2 linked regions of the Rhinolophus ferrumequinum genome follow. The main gene of each other region encodes a partner of the protein of the gene in region 2 in a complex. Links are inferred from orthologs where the notes say so. Each region holds a gene or a part of one and is shown on either strand. Other genes may lie near its edges. The genes, in order: LATS2 and NF2.

Region 1 (7,916 bases), on a different chromosome or scaffold from region 2:
TTAAGGAGTGAAAGTCAGACCGTTAGTGCTAAAAGGGGCTTCAGAATGACACATGGTAATTTTTGTTGCTATAACATCCTGGTGGCCTACTTATTTACCCCTTTAAGGTAACTAGTCCAAATTAATCCAAATACTTAAAACAGTCGTATTTCATTATTTCTAAGACACATACTTTTCCACATTTCAGCATCTGTGAAATCGCAATGCATCGTAGAATGCATGTGATAGGCAAGCTCTTTCATACAGATGTGCAGCTTCTCCTTTCTAAGATGGAATCCTAAAAAGCCAATGAAACATGAAAGTTTCAAGACTAAGCACATGCTCCTTTCACAATGTATATTTTTGCCCTGCAAATATTTATTTGATCTCAGAAATTAATATAATCCTTTGAGCTAATGTGGCACAAATGTGGAAAAATCTATTAAAAATACAAGCATCTTGGAAACAGTAACAAACCAGTATAAATTTCTGTATTTCTTTCATGGCAACTGGGAAGATGAAACAGATGACCTAAAACTTGAAACAGCATAGCCTGTAGGGCCCATAAGATGACACAAGGACACCAGGCACTGATGAAGAATTAAGAACTCTGAAACACAGCACCAGGCAGGGGGTCAAACGCCCAAGGCCATTTAGTTTTAACACTCTATTTACAAGCCTCGGCTTCACACTGAGTAAAAAACTCCAAATCGAATCTTTCCATGGAGGCTCCCACCAGCTCGGAGGTGCTCTGGAAACAAGGAGGTGCTCTGGAAACAAGCCGCTCCTCTCGTTACCATGAGAACAACCGATGCCCTCTCAATTGCCAGCCCTAAAGCTAAGCACTGCTCCCCTCTCCCCATCGTTACCCTGCTGTTTCCACCTGCTCAATACAGATCAAATCATTTTTCTCCATGCCCACCACTGGTGCTGTTTCAATCTCTCATTATTTAATTCCTCTGTTTACCCCTTCCCACCTACGGGGAGGAGTCCCACTGTTGGAGGACAGCAAAGAGCACGACAGCATGTGCCGCCAGGAGCAGCACCCAGGATGTCACCCCACTCCAGGGTTTGCAGTGTTGGGATTGCCAAGAACGACACGGACAACACTTTGAGAAGGAACAGCAAGACAAGCTTCAGACGTTACTGCTGGTCCCCCCACTGCCTACAGCTCTCACCTGCAGCCCATCAGACGGTCTTGCATGTCCCTCTCATGAGCAGGGAAGGGGCCACATGATGCTTGAGCAGCACAAAGAACATCAAGCCCAGGACAGGGACAGAGCAAAGCTCAGCACAGGCGGCGAGGGCCCTTACCTCTTTACAAGGAAATGACCCAGGCCCAAGGCCACTGTGGCCCTGTGATAGGCGAGAAGCTGTGCAAGACTGCCTTTCCCAACATGACACATGTTCATTATTGAAAGAGGGGAAAGCCATCTGCAGGAATGCAGTAAATTATATCCCACACCTCACCACCCAGCAGTAACCAGTGACGTTACACCACTTCTGGCATCTTTCTGTGCACATGCACAGTGCTACAGAAATTGATCATCAAGCGTGTTATATATGCTGAGACAATACAAAAAAAACTGCTTCAAATATTACACATATTTTTAAGAAAACTTGAAATTAACAGAAGGAAAAACTAAAGTCAAATTGAAGGAATTGTAAAACTTCGTAACGATGTTACTCTTCCTCTCAACCCTGTCCTTTTGTAGCTTATTTTTACTTTGTCCCCAGTGATCTCCAATGTTGGCCTGAAACTTGAGGCCCGAGTGACTTTCTTTAACCCGATATTCTGCTGTTTATTGTAATCAATTATTCCTGATATACAGAATGTACTTGTGTGTACCAAAAAGGATTCTCTTCCTTTCTACAAACGTTTTCCAGATTTTCATCTTGCTCAGGACGAACATGGGGAGCTGGTTCACACCTCTCAGTGAATAGTCCTCCTCCATGAGCCCCCGCCTGCCTGCTGAGGGCTGTCACCTAGAGCAGCTGGACTGCCAAGTGCACTTTCTGACTAGTCCACAGCTTGAGCACTCAGGTGAAGAGTAAACAACGAATACTCTACAGCGTAGTAGTAAATGCATTTCCGACTTACGATATTTCCAACTTAGCATGGGTTTATCGGGACATAACCCCATCCATGGTAAGTCAAGGAGCATCCTATTTGGTAGGTGGGATTCAAGTCCCATCAGTTGGACTTTAGAGATCATCCTAGATAATCCAGTAGGCCTGATCCAATCAGTTGAGGGCCGTAGCCGGCTGTGGACCCAGATTTCAAGCAGTGCCCTTCCTGATAGACTGCCCTACAGATGAGGAATTCAGGTCGCCGGGCAGCCCCCCCAACTGTATAAGCCAATTCTTTGTTATATAAATCTCTTAAAACTGCTGATGGTTCTGTTTTCCTGGGTGAACCCTGATACAGTGGCCTACATGATTTTCTTCCAGTAACCTGTTTAATGACCACCTAATCACAGGACACGTATCACTCTGGTGTATCTGTCTTGTTCCCAGCCCCACGCAATGCCCTGAACTTTTGCAAACTCAACTGGTTTCTGCTGGGCTCCTCTGGACTCCCACTGCCTTTTCCTTGACTTCTTAGGGCTGTGTACATTAGCTTCTCGGTCCAGTTCCAAAAATTGAGAATTCCTAAGATTTGTTAACCAACCTCCCTCATTCCTGCTTCTGGGAGAGGGACAGGTCTCTGCGCTACCTCCACACCAACCATCCAGTCTTTCAGAATCTGTTTTTTTGGAGGTATAGTATAAGGTTCTTTCCTTGTTTGTTTAGGACAGGAATTTTTCTAATCTTGATCGGGAGTAGAGGATCTATTGAACAATCTCACCCTGCCATCTTCACCCTAGTCTTCCTTAGCATTTGTTAGAGTGCTTTCTCGCTGGACTGAGCTCACTGTAGGGAGCGTCAGCACCATCTTTCCTTTATGCCCTGAGGGTCTAAGTACAGCACCTGGCAAACAAAATCTTATTTGTTGGAGAAAATATACACTTTAATCTTTGAACAGAGGTTTTCATCAACCCAGTAATAACAGTTCCTCCCTCTAACTGAAATCAACCTTCTCTGGCTTTATTCTGGGATGATATACTGAACTGGACTCATACTACTACATAAACTTAACAAGCCCCTTCAAAAAGACAAATAAGGTCCAAATCTTTAAAGAGCTGAGTTCTAGTATATTGGGCTTACAGTTTAAAATTACACACCTTTAGAGGAACGTAAAATACTGTGTGAAAAACAGTTTGGCGGTTCCTCAAAAAGTTAAACATAGAATGAGCACATGATCCTGCAATCCTACTTCTGAGTATAGAACCAACTGTATCCCACTTCTGGGTATAGAACCCAAAGAACTGAAAGCAGGCTGAAAGAGATTTGTACTCCCATGTTTACAGCAGCATTATTCACTGGCTGAAATGTACAAACAACCCCACAATGCCTATCAATAGATGGACCAACAAAATGTAGTATATCCATACAGTGAAATTTTAGCCATAAAAAAGAATTGTTGTATGTGACACCATGAATGAAGCTTTAAAACTTATGCTAAGTGAAATAAACTAGACAAAAGAACAAATATTGTGTAAGTCCACTTATATGAAGTGTCTAAAGTAGATAAATTCAGAGACAAAGTAGATTACCCTGGATATACCCGGACTGGTATAGAATTTCTGTTGCGAGGGAATGAAAAAGTTGTGGGAATAGATTAACAGTAATGGTGCACAATGTGAATATACTTAATGCCACTGAATTGTATCCTTAAAAACAGTTAAAATGGCAAATGTAATACACACACACAAAAGACAAATTTTAAAAAAGTATACCTTTCGTACTGCTACTAAAAAACCATTATGATGTCAATCAAACGAAGGAATTACACGTACATGCTGCTTGCTGTGTATAACGTTCCTAGTCAGACTCGGGGTAGGTAAGGTACACACAAGAGATACACATTCAGGGGCAGGTCTTCACTGAGCACACATCAAAATCTTTTCTATTATGCATCAGATCAGAAACCACCCCGGTTTTGCTGATATTTGATGCTACGGCAGTAAGGCTCAATATCACCTGGAAGTGCTCCTCGAGGACAACACACATCACTCGACAGCATGGCTGACCCTTCCCCGTGACTGTAGTACCATGTATTCGACCGGCAGCCCCTTATGGGCGGCTGCCGCATTTTAACGATCTGCGTGCCATTGCTCTACCAAGCAGCCATAACTCCACAACGCCAAAGGTTCACCATTAGACGCAGAAGCTTACAAGACGGGTCGGACCGATCTTTTCACTTAACAGCCGAAACTAACTCTGTGAGAGTGGCGCCCGCAGGCTCAAGTGGGGGCTGCTCCCCACCGGCCCAGGGGACTCGCCGGTGCCCGCTCGTCCCGCGGCCCACTCACCAGGTGTAGATCTGCAGCTCGCTGGATGGCACGTTCCCTCGGGAGAACTCGTCCATGCGGTGATGGCGGCCGTTGTTGGTGGTGAAGACGCGCAGCAGCAGCGGGCACGTCTGGGGGACAGGAGTAAAGGCAAGGGAACAAGCTGAAGCGGCGCGGCCAGCCTCCCGCAGGCGCCGCGGCCTCCGAGCCGCCCCCTGCGCGCAGGCCCCGCTCTCCACCCCGCCAGCCCACTGGCACCTCGTCCGGACGCCTCACCTTCTCCCGGTCGATCGGCTTCTCCGGCTCCTTCTTAATTTCCTCCTGGGTGACGCGCGACTCCACCGCCATCTTCCTCCTGTGGCCCGCGAGACGCTCGCTCTGACCTCCGACCCCGGCAGCTAGCATGAGAACGAAGTGTCTCGCGAGGAGAAGCTCGAGGCTTTATAGCAGACAGGGCGGGGTGAGGGTGGGGCGGGGCCTTCCGCGGCGCAAGCGCATTTTGTTGCGCGGTGCACTAACCCAGACAGGCCGCGCCTGCGCGTTGTGTTGTTCGGGAAGAGGCGGGCGCTGGCGTCCCCGCAGCGGAACTTCTGAGGGACGTCGCCGGACCTTGTTGGCCAAGGTATTTATGCATTCCCTGAAATGTTCACAGGCCAAATAAGCTCACGAGGGCGTATTCGCACGAAATTATGGAAACCTTAACGCAAAACGCCTAAGAACAGTACAGGAGGTCCTGTTGTGAGTAAGCAAAAACATGCCTTTATTAGCAAACTGTCGAGCTCTTTTTTGATAGAGGTAGGGTAACACGTGGTAAAAGGGCCCGAACGTGGTCCCTGAGTTAAGACTAGGGAGGCACTGCAAAACAGAGGGAACAGTGAGTGACCTGGACTGAGGGAAGAAAGGACTCCTCCCACCCCACCCCTACACAGAATTTCGGGAGCGGTCAAAGACCTAAGTGTGAACAGCAAAACTCGCACTTTCTGGAAATAACATAGTAGACCGTCTTCATGACCAATGGATAGGGATATGTGATACAAAAAGCACTAACCATAAAAGGTTGACAAAGTTTGCTAGATTAAAATAGAAAAAAAAACAACAAATCCTAACCTTCAGCATACATCATAAAGAAAGAGAAGCATAAATCACAGAGTGGAAGAAGGTATCAGGGGTGCATGTGATTGACAAGAGCTAGGGTCCGGGATATGAAAGAACTAAAGAAGAATTCCAATAGAAAAATGGGTAAAATCATTGATTTGAAAATGGAGAAATCCACATGGCCAATAAACATAAGGTGCTGAAGCTCATTACTAGTCAGGAAATGCATTAAAACCACAGTGATCGGCTTTAATTGATTGGTTTTAAACTACACGTACCTCTGGGTAAAAATTGGAATTCTGACAGTTGTTGGTAGACTAATGGGAATTCTCAAATGGTATATATACCACTTTGGGAAGTAGTTTAGGATTATTTAGTAAAATTGAAGATACGTATACTTTAGATCTAACAATACCACTCCTTGGTATATACCCTAGAGACAGCCTTGCTCAGCTGTATCCGGAGACATAAGAATGTTCTTGGCAGTATTGTTCATAAGAAAAAAGAGTGGAAACATCCCAAGTGTCCATTAGCATTACAGTAGTTCAATGAATTGTGGTATCTATACAGCAACAAAAATGAACAAACTACAGCCACATGAAACCAACTGTGTGAAACATCATGAATTTCACAAGCATAATGGTAGGTGTAAGAAGCCGAAGACAAAAGAATGTATACTATGTGAACCCATTCTTACAACATTCAAAAGCATGCAATGCCATATTGTTCAGGATTCATTTCCAGGTGATAAAACTATAAAAAGAAAAGCAATGAAGTCATTACCACAAAAGTCAGAATGGTCGTTAACTCTGAGAAAAAAATGGATTGTGACCATGGAGGGGCAAAGGTGTTTTTTTTTTTTATTGAGGTGGTGATTACACCGTTTGATTTTAAATTGTTCTTTAAACAGTACATTTATGTTTTATGCATTCTTCTGCATGAATGCTGTATCATGCTATTTTAAAAAATACCCCACCAAAGGAAAAAAAATGCCTATAAGTCAGTAAGAAAAAGACAATCCAATAGAAAATGGGCAAAGGGCATATAGGCCTTTCAAAGAAAACACAAATTGCATGTAAACATGAAAAAATGCCCAACCTCATGAATAATCATAGAAAAACGCACATTTAAATCACAATGAGATAACATTTCACAACTAGATTGGCCAAGATGGAAATCTGACAACCAAGTGCTATGAAGGAGATGGAGAAAAGGGAGTTTTTATGGGCTACTCTGATCTACTTTGGAAAAATTGATGTTATCTAGAAAGACTGGATATGAGTACACGTGAAGACCCAGCTATTCCACTTCTATGCTATGCCCCAGAGAAATTGTTACACATAGTCAAACTTTTAGAAACAATTTGAATGTCTACCAAGAGTATATTGGTAAAATGGAATACATAAAGTTGAAAGTAAATGAATGAATGAATATGCTCTTTTAAAAGTAGAATTAAAAAAGCAAGTCAGAAAAACGCAATGGGATTCAATTTATGCAGAGTTCAAAATTAGGAAAATATTCCCTGTCTCCCCCCACCCCCACACAAAAAGTACTGTTTAGGGAAACAAACACCACATGGTAAAACTATAAAGAAAAGAACTGGGATGATTAAAACTAAATTCAGGATAGTGTTATCTCTGAGAGTAAGCTGGATGACCCAATTTATGAAGGGCATCCTGGGAGCTTCTAAAATACTAGAAATGTGCTCTTTCTCACTAGGGGTGGGGGTGGTTTTTCATTTTTACATTGTAGCTGTACATTTTAGATACTCGTGTGATTTAGATCACTGTTAAAAATTTTTAACTATTATTTAGGGATAGGACCTTACATGCAGTCAATATCCAGTTTTTTACAAAAGATTAAATTTCCTTCAAGTTCTATGATTCTAATATTAAACCTTTTTCAAAACCTCCATAGTATAAAAATACAGACACATGAGGGCACTCTAACCAATAAACTAAAGGGAAACATTGAAACTGAAAATGAACCTCATGACCTCTTAGTGGTGACTGGGAGGTTTAGTCGCTTAGATGTAAGCTTTTATAATGGACCTTTCTGAATGAGGCTCTCATCAAAATGGGAGTCCTGATGCCTGTGACAGTGCAACTGCAGCTGTATATCAGAACAATTCAGGCTGACTTTCAGCATCCCTCAGTCTACCTACTTGGCTTTCTAGGTCCAGCACTGAGCACAAACTGTAAAATTTAAGTATATGCATCCTTTCTCTTTATAGAATTTACAAAGGAGAATTACAGTTCTCGGTGGTTCTGAGAGCCATCTCCTTACCAGTACATTTTAAGCCAGTGGAACAGAATGGGGGTTGCATTTGCTTGTCATGGAGTTGAATCTCTCACTTTACCCCCTATTTTAAGCATTTGAATGATTATATTGAAATGGTTTTTAAACGAACATTCTCTTCCTCAAGAGTCTGCAGTGTCAACAACATAT
Region 2 (7,636 bases):
ATATTTTTTCCCTCTCCTCTCCTTCTGGTATTACCACTGTGCATGTTGCTGCACCTATCACATTTTTCTGCAGCTCTGTACATTTTTCTTCATTTTTTTTCCTCTCTACTTTTCAGCTTGTATAATCTCTACCAATCTATCTTCAAGTATGCAAATGCTTTCTTCTGCCAGTTCGAATCTACTTTGAGCCCCTCTGAATTTTTTATTTCAGTCACAGTACTTTCCAACTCCAGAGTTTTAATTTGGTTCTTTTTAATAATTCATCTCTCTCTATTTATATTCTCTATCTGATACAAAAATATCATTATCCCTTCCTTAACTTCCTTAATCATGCTTTCCTTTAGTTCTGTGAACATATTTATAATGGCTACTTTGAAACCTTTTCATTAAATCTGACATCTGGTCGCTCTCACAAGCAATTTCTGTTGCTAGCCTTTATCAATTGTATGGGTCATATTTCCCTGTTTCTTTGCATACCTCATAATGTTTTGTTGGAAACTAGACATTTTAGATAATATAGCAATCCTGGGAACTGGTGCCCCCTCTTCTGGGCTTGTTATTGTTATTTGCTTATTTATTTAAAGACTGGCTGAAATCTATTTCCCTCACAGTGTTAAGGCCTATGATGTTTGTCCTCAGGAAGGCCATCTTTGCTTATGACCATAGGTTTTAGTAGGGCTCTCTTTCCCTAATCGTACCCAGCTGTTAAACTCCACTAATTGTGGTATATTGTTCTATTATTTTCAACAATGCTCAGGGGCATAACTTGCTCTACAGTAATCCAATCAAAAGGTGTCTCTTTTGAGGGAACAGTTCCTGAGATCCATGTTTGATATTTGTTCTGACCCCAGCAGGGCTTTTCCCTAGCTATCTTATTGCCCCATTCTCTCCTGCAAACAAGCTGGCCTACAATCTAGGTCGCATCTTCATTCAATCCACAAATCCCCTACCAATTGCCTTTCACCAAGACCTCCACTGTTCTTGAGTACCCTTAGGCATAAACTTCTCCATAATATGTAGCCAATGAAGTTCCAACCTTTGGAAAGAGATTAGTAGCTAAGGTTTTTAAGGCTGCTTCTCCCTCCTGGCAAAATTTCTGAGCCCTTGGTGGAAGTGGGGAGGGAGGACATACCACCCTGAGGTCTTCTCAGTTTGCCTCTCTGGGCTGGAACCACCTTCTCCCAGGCTGAGCGTGGGCCAAGAGTAAATGGGGCCTAGTATTTTCAGTGTGCCACACCCAGGGCACAGCCTCCATTCCACAAGTAGGAGCTGGGTGGAAGAAAGAAGCTCCCATCTTTCAACTCCACTCAGTTTCAGCAACAAATAACCTTGGGCAGCTGAGAAGCACTGAAGTTCTGCTCCTCTTAGGAAGACAGCCTTCTGACTAGGAGCTAGGGGAGAGGGAGCCCTGTGTTTTGAGTTGCAGCAGTCCGAAGCAGAATCTCTGCCTTGCTGAGCTGGGAACAGGGAGGGTGGTAGTGGTCTTGGTTCAAATGCCACAAACCCTTGCCTTCCTTACCAAATTTTTATGTATTTTCTTGAATAGATGTTTCTTCACTTAATGTTTGCCTTTAGGACCATTCCTAGAGGATTTGAATTTTTTTTTAAATAATTTTTACCAGTTTTATAAAGAACCATGTCAGTGGAGCTCTTCACACTGGAAGTCATGCTAGAAGTTAATCCTGTCTACAGTGGCTTTTGGGCTACAATGGTGCTACAATAGTACATCTGAAGAGTTAAGTAGTTGCAACTGAGACCTTATAGCCTTCAAAGCTGAAAATATTTACTATGTGGCCCTTGACAGAAAAAGTTTGCCAATCCCTGACTTAGGTCACTGCTGCCAATACTGCTGGTCCACAGACCACACTTTGAATAGCAAGAGCTTAAATTACTTGAGAAGGCAGTACTGTATGGGCTAAGAGCTTGATTCAAAACCCCACTTCGCCATTTACTATATATATGATTTGGGGTATGTATCTCATTGGGTTGTTGTAAGAATTAAATGTATGAATGTCCGGCACTTAGAAAGTATTCAACAAATAGTAACTGTTATCATCATGATAGAAACTATGGAAAATGTAAGACACCACCTCTTTCCTCAAAGTTTTTTTCCAGAAAATTTAAGTTTTGGAAAAAGGAAACAAGTATAGACTTCCCAATAACACAAGATGCTTTTTAATACCTGGTGTACATAATATTGTCTAATGGAGTAAAAACTCTGTAGCGCTGGAGCCTAAGCCTGACACTGAAAACTAGAATTTGCTACCACAGATGCTTCCAGCCTTTAGCAGTAACAATGAATGAAAACACGAAGGAAGTGCTTCCAAACCCAAAGCCCTACTGAAAAGGGCAGCAATTTATCTTTAATATGAGGATTTGGGCCTAGATGGTTCCTTCCGGTTCTAGCCATCCCTATCTATGCCCAGAGATGATATAAGCAGAATCCCTCAAGTCTCCACCTCGACTGTCACCGCGACAGGGGCGCCCCGATAAGTGCCAAACCCGCACGAGGGCCAGGAGAGCAGAGATTCCGCCAGGCTCCGCTCACAGCAGCCCATTCGGGCTGCCAGTTGGTTACCTCGCAATTGAACTCCATCTCGGCGTCCATGGTGACGATCCGCACGGTGAACGTCTTGGGCTGCTTCCTCTTGAGCGAGCTGAAGCTCATGCGGGAAGCGATGGCCCCGGCCATGGTGCGGGGCTCAGGCCCGGGACCCTCGCGTCCCGAGACCTGCGCTTTGGGACTGTTAGCCCCCCTGGAGGAGCTGCACAGGCCTCAGGGCCACCATGGTGGCCGGGTGGCCAGCCTGGGAGCTGTCTGAGCCGCGCGGGCCCCAAGCGGCCAGCATGGGCCGCGAGGACCCTGCCCCGGGAGCGGAAAGGTGGAGTTGCGGGGCGAGCCCTTACGGCCGTAGGAAGGGAACGCGAGCGAGGACCGACGGGGCGGACTCGGCCCGGAGCTCCGGGACTCGAGCCGAGGACGCTGGGGTCACCCGGGGACGGGGCCCCTAGACGGCAGCGGCCCAGATCCCGCGCGCCTCTCAGCGGCTGACGGAGGTCTCGGGGCCGCGCCGCAGCCAGGCGCGCACGTGCGCGCGTGGCTGTCACCGTCCTCGCTCCGCGCGCCCGCGGGAAGTGTCCCCTCCCCGCAGCCCCCGGCCTGCTCCCTGCCCCGCCCTCAGGCCCCCGAGATCACAACTCACAGCTCAACCTAACAGGCGACCACCCCTTAGACGCAGCAATTGGCTTAAAACTCCGAAGAAGGCGGGACTTTCACTCTCCGTCCCGCCTTCCTCACAAGGACTCCACCAATTGGAAGTTCCGCTCCAACTGGAGGCGTGGGCCTGGGTTCGGAGTTGACTGGCTATAGACGCCGTCGCTCCGATCGCTTTGTTAGCAAGGGGTACGCCTACTCTAACAAGACTGGTTGAGGCGGCGGATCCCGGCGCGCCTTTCCTGGGAAACCACGTTGAGGCTGGCCCCAGGGTACGGGAGTCGGGTTTCTCCCAGGTCCAGTAAAGGACTGCCCTTCAGATCAAGTACGCGCCGAGTATGACGCCCCAAGGCATCGTGTTTCGGACACCCGGCGGATAATCCTGTTTAGCACTTAGTAATTACATATACTGACCTATGTTTCTCAAAACTTTTAAATTACTTGTGGAGGCCGCCTAGGTTCCCGGCACTCTCCCACAGATCCTTCTGCTTCTCTTTAGAAGTATTCATTATTACCGAGGAGGGGATAATTGTACCTACTTCATGGAGGTTTTGAGGAATTTAAGCGAGTTAACATAAAGTTTTAGAACGGTGGCTGGCACATACTAGATTGAATCCTAGGAAATTGCTGTTTTTGTAGATACAAAATGGTCAAAACGAAAGCATTTCTCACTTTGTACTCTGATTTCTGTTTCGAACCATATACGTGTATTATTTATTTTTTAAATGTCATCAAAGCTTATAACGAGTGTATATGAGGCGAGGAAGTAAAACTTGCTGTATTTAAAAAATAAATCCTATTTTTAAATACCTCGTAAGTGTTGAAAGGAGACAATGTCCTGTGTTTTAATTCAACGGTAAGCACTCCATAAATGTTAACCATCACCTCTTCTCTACAGAGGAGGAAGCAGGCTCAACATGACAGAACCACTAGCTGGCTATCAACCAGATAGCGAAAGGTGAAGCTGGGACTGGAACCCAGGTCTATCCCATCCAAAGCCTGCCAGTATTACCACTGCACTGCCTGTTTCTCTGGTTGTGTTTGCCAAATTGCTCCCTGGTGTAGCCCCAAGAACTACAGTTCTGGAGGACTCAGCAGACACTGTTGCTAAAATGATAACTAGTAGCATAAATCGAGCTCTTCCTCATGGGCCCCTGCAGTGCCATGAAGCACCAGCCAGGCCCCAGACATCATCTGTTGGCACACTCAGAGAGGCTGCTGTGGGGGAACATTATGTCCTGTCTACTGCTAGCAAATTCTCCCCACCAAACTGATGGGGGAGGGAGGAGAAGTGTCTTCATTTTCATTGCTTCAGTTCTTCCCCGGGGGGTGGGAGAACCAGGTTGGATTCTCCTGATGTCCCCATCAGGACATAAATCAGGGCTTTCTTTAACCCAGGGCCAAGACTGCTGACAGAAAATACCCAAGTGATCTGGGAACCCACTGAGGAGTAGCAAGTGGAGGTGGATCAGAAATCAGGGGCTAAAAAGACACTGATGGCCAATAATAGCTTGTTTTTATGGAAGGCTTACTAGGTGTTAGGCTCTGGGCTAATTGGTCAAACATGCCAAATTTAAATGTTCCTAGGGAAACATCCAGGTAGATACATAGCTCTGGATGTCCCAAGGGAGGCCAATGCCAGGAATAAAAATAGACGTGATGGAATAGTATGCTGGCATTAAAATTGCCATTCATAAAGAATAAACACAGATGGTAATAATACCTACAAGGTAAGGATTTGAGAAGGAATGGTTCAGGTAGAACTCATTAAAAAAGATCTGGCACATAGACACCAGGTAATAAATATCTGTTGAATGAATAAGTACTCACGGTCTCAATTATGGGAAGAATATTAATAGCTACCATATATTAAGTGCTTGCCATATGAAGCCCTCTGCAAAGTGTTTTGCATGCTTTATTTCCTTGGATCTTTATCAAAATCCTATTTGGTAAATATTATATCCCTAGTTTACACATGAGGAAATTAGCTAAGGCTGAAATCAGGTATTTTACCCAAGATCATGACTGGTAGAGATGTAATTTTCATCCAGGACTGTTTTAATCCAGATCTCACCTGACTTATATTTTGTTCGTCCATTCTTCAGAAGATCAGAGGTTTTCAAAGTTAGGTCACTTCTCTCCAGCAGATATATGGCAATGTCTCGAGATTTTATTGGTTGTCACAACTAAGGGGTGCTCCTGTCTTCTATGGGTAAAGCCTAAGGATGCTATTAAACCTCTCACAATGCATAGGACAACCTCCCACAACAAAGAATTATCCAGCCCAACGTATCCATAATTCCAAGATAAATAAATTTCTTTAAATTTTTTGAGTCGAAAATACTCTATAAGAGAATCTGATGAAACCAGCAAACCCACTCTTCAAAAGAATGCATACATGCACAAAATTTTCCATATGGTTTTAGGAGGTACATGGAAAGACTTGTCCAAAGCACATCTATGAACTCCAGATTAAATCAACTCATCCCACTGATTAAATCAACTTATCCTAGACACACATGTGAATTCTAGATTGTGATAACTCTGCCAAAAACTGTACTCTGTCATTTTTGGCCACTTGCGGAATTACTTTACTGCATGTTGGCACGAAGCCATTGTCCTGTACTGAGGATGTTATAAGGAATGGCCTCGAGGAACTCTGACTATCTTTATAGTAGATATTTAGCTGGCAAAGCTTCACACAGTATCTTTTCTATGGAGACCCACGAGAGAAATCTCATACTCCAGCACTCATGCGAGACTGGTTTGCTTTTTATTTTCTAAATAACTTTTTATTGTGTTTTTCCTTATTTTACAAGTAATCCATATGTATTATAAAAAAAGAAATCGAAAACCAGCAGTGTGGTAGGCATAATTCTAAAATGTCCCCCAATGTCCACAGCCTTGTATAATTCTTCCCTTTGGGTGTGAGCAAGACCTATGGATATGATGGGATATTATTCTGTGACTATGTTACTTTGTATGGCAAAAGGAATTTAGGCAAATGTAATCCCTAATCCGTTTTATTCATCAAAAGGGAGATTATCATGAGTGGGACTGACCTAATCAGGTGAATCTTAAAAGGGGAACAAGAACACAGAGGTGGAGAGAGTCAGAGAGATGAGCTCCTGCTGGCTTAGAAGAAAGCAAACGTCCTTGTTGTGAACTGCCTATGAGGCCACATAGCAAGGAACTCTGGGTAGCCTCTGGGAGCAAAGAGTAGTCCGCATCTGACAGCAAGAAAACAGACTTCAATCCTACTACCACAAGCAGCTGGATTCTGCCAATAACCTGAATGAGCTAGGAAAAGTTTCCTGAGCTTCCAATGAGAACTGTGGTATGGTGGATACCTTGACTTCAGTCCTTTGAAACCCTGAGCAGAAGATAATGCTAGGCCATCCCTGGAATCCAGACCCTGGATTCCAGACTGATTCTAGACCCATGAGATAAATGTAATTACCACTGAAATTGTGATAATTTGTTACATAGCAATAGAAACCTGTACAAGCAGAAAGAAAAAACAATTTTAATTTTCATCATCCACAGGCCCACTGCTTTTATATAGTACATATTGTTTTGTGATTTGCTAACTTTTCATTCATTAATATGTTATGAATATTTTTCCATATCATTAAATATTCTATAATATAATTTTCTCAGGGCTGCATGGGCTCTCATGTAAATGTTTGGGTTTGTTTTTTTCTCTCTCTCTTAACATGCTGTAAACCATATAACCAATCTTGTTGCCTTCTTGGAGTTTTCTGTTAGAAAGCCCAGAACCAAATTTGAATTCAGCCTCTGGCAATTTTACTTGCTTTTGCTTTATCTTTGGCTTCATCTTATTTTTCCTGCCCTTATTCCTCACTTTGTAATAACTTTCCCCCCACTCACTTACTGTTTATTTGTTGCACTAGCTGTATTTCTTTTTATATACTTATGGACCCCTTACTTAAAGGCTTTTTTGTTTATTTGTTTTACTTAGATCAATACTTTATATAACAAAGTATTTCTTACATATGTATAATTTTTAAACTTTTATTTTGAACTAATATCAGACTTAAAGTTTGCAGAAATAGTAGTTTCTCTATATCCTTCACTCAGCTTCCCCAAATGTTAACATCTTACTTAATCATAACAGAATTATCAGAATCAAGAAATTAACATTGATACACAACTATTAGCTAAAGTAAAGCCCTTATTGAAATTTCACCAGTGTTTCCACTACTGTCCTTTTCTGTTCCAAGATCCTGTCAGGGTTCCCACATAACATTGGGTTCTTTCTCTTTAGTCTTCTGCAGTCTGTAATAAATCTTCAGTCTTTCCTTATTTTTCACCTTGACACTTCTAATGAATATCGGCCAAATACTTGTTCAGTTCAGGTTTGTCTTATAAATTTTCCCATGATGGGAATGATGTTTTAGA

What was found.
Region 1: the proteins of NF2 (region 2) and LATS2 are in contact, whole or in part, in a crystal structure (PDB 4ZRI), measured with the Homo sapiens proteins. The link is inferred for Rhinolophus ferrumequinum from reciprocal best matches to the Homo sapiens genes NF2 and LATS2. Residues at the interface, in NP_000259.1 of Homo sapiens: Pro135, Glu136, Ala137, Val139, Leu140, Tyr144, Asn175, Leu176, Tyr177, Gln178, Met179, Trp184, Arg187, Trp191, Glu206, Lys209, Ile210; in NP_055387.2 of Homo sapiens: Tyr73, Ala76, Leu77, Glu79, Ile80, Arg81, Ser83, Leu84, Leu85, Phe87, Ala88, Asn89.

Annotation. Positions count from the first base shown.
Region 1 is NC_046287.1:104,818,736-104,826,651, reverse strand, and holds the start of LATS2 (serine/threonine-protein kinase LATS2), read left to right. Parts: upstream 1-4,900; 5' UTR 4,901-4,995; intron 4,996-7,916. Other genes in the region: histone deacetylase complex subunit SAP18, read right to left, coding at 4,395-4,504, 4,650-4,778. UniProt on the Homo sapiens protein: Negative regulator of YAP1 in the Hippo signaling pathway that plays a pivotal role in organ size control and tumor suppression by restricting proliferation and promoting apoptosis.
Region 2 is NC_046308.1:18,945,170-18,952,805, reverse strand, and holds the start of NF2 (merlin), read right to left. Parts: upstream 3,209-7,636; 5' UTR 2,693-3,208; coding exon 2,579-2,692; intron 1-2,578. UniProt on the Homo sapiens protein: Probable regulator of the Hippo/SWH (Sav/Wts/Hpo) signaling pathway, a signaling pathway that plays a pivotal role in tumor suppression by restricting proliferation and promoting apoptosis.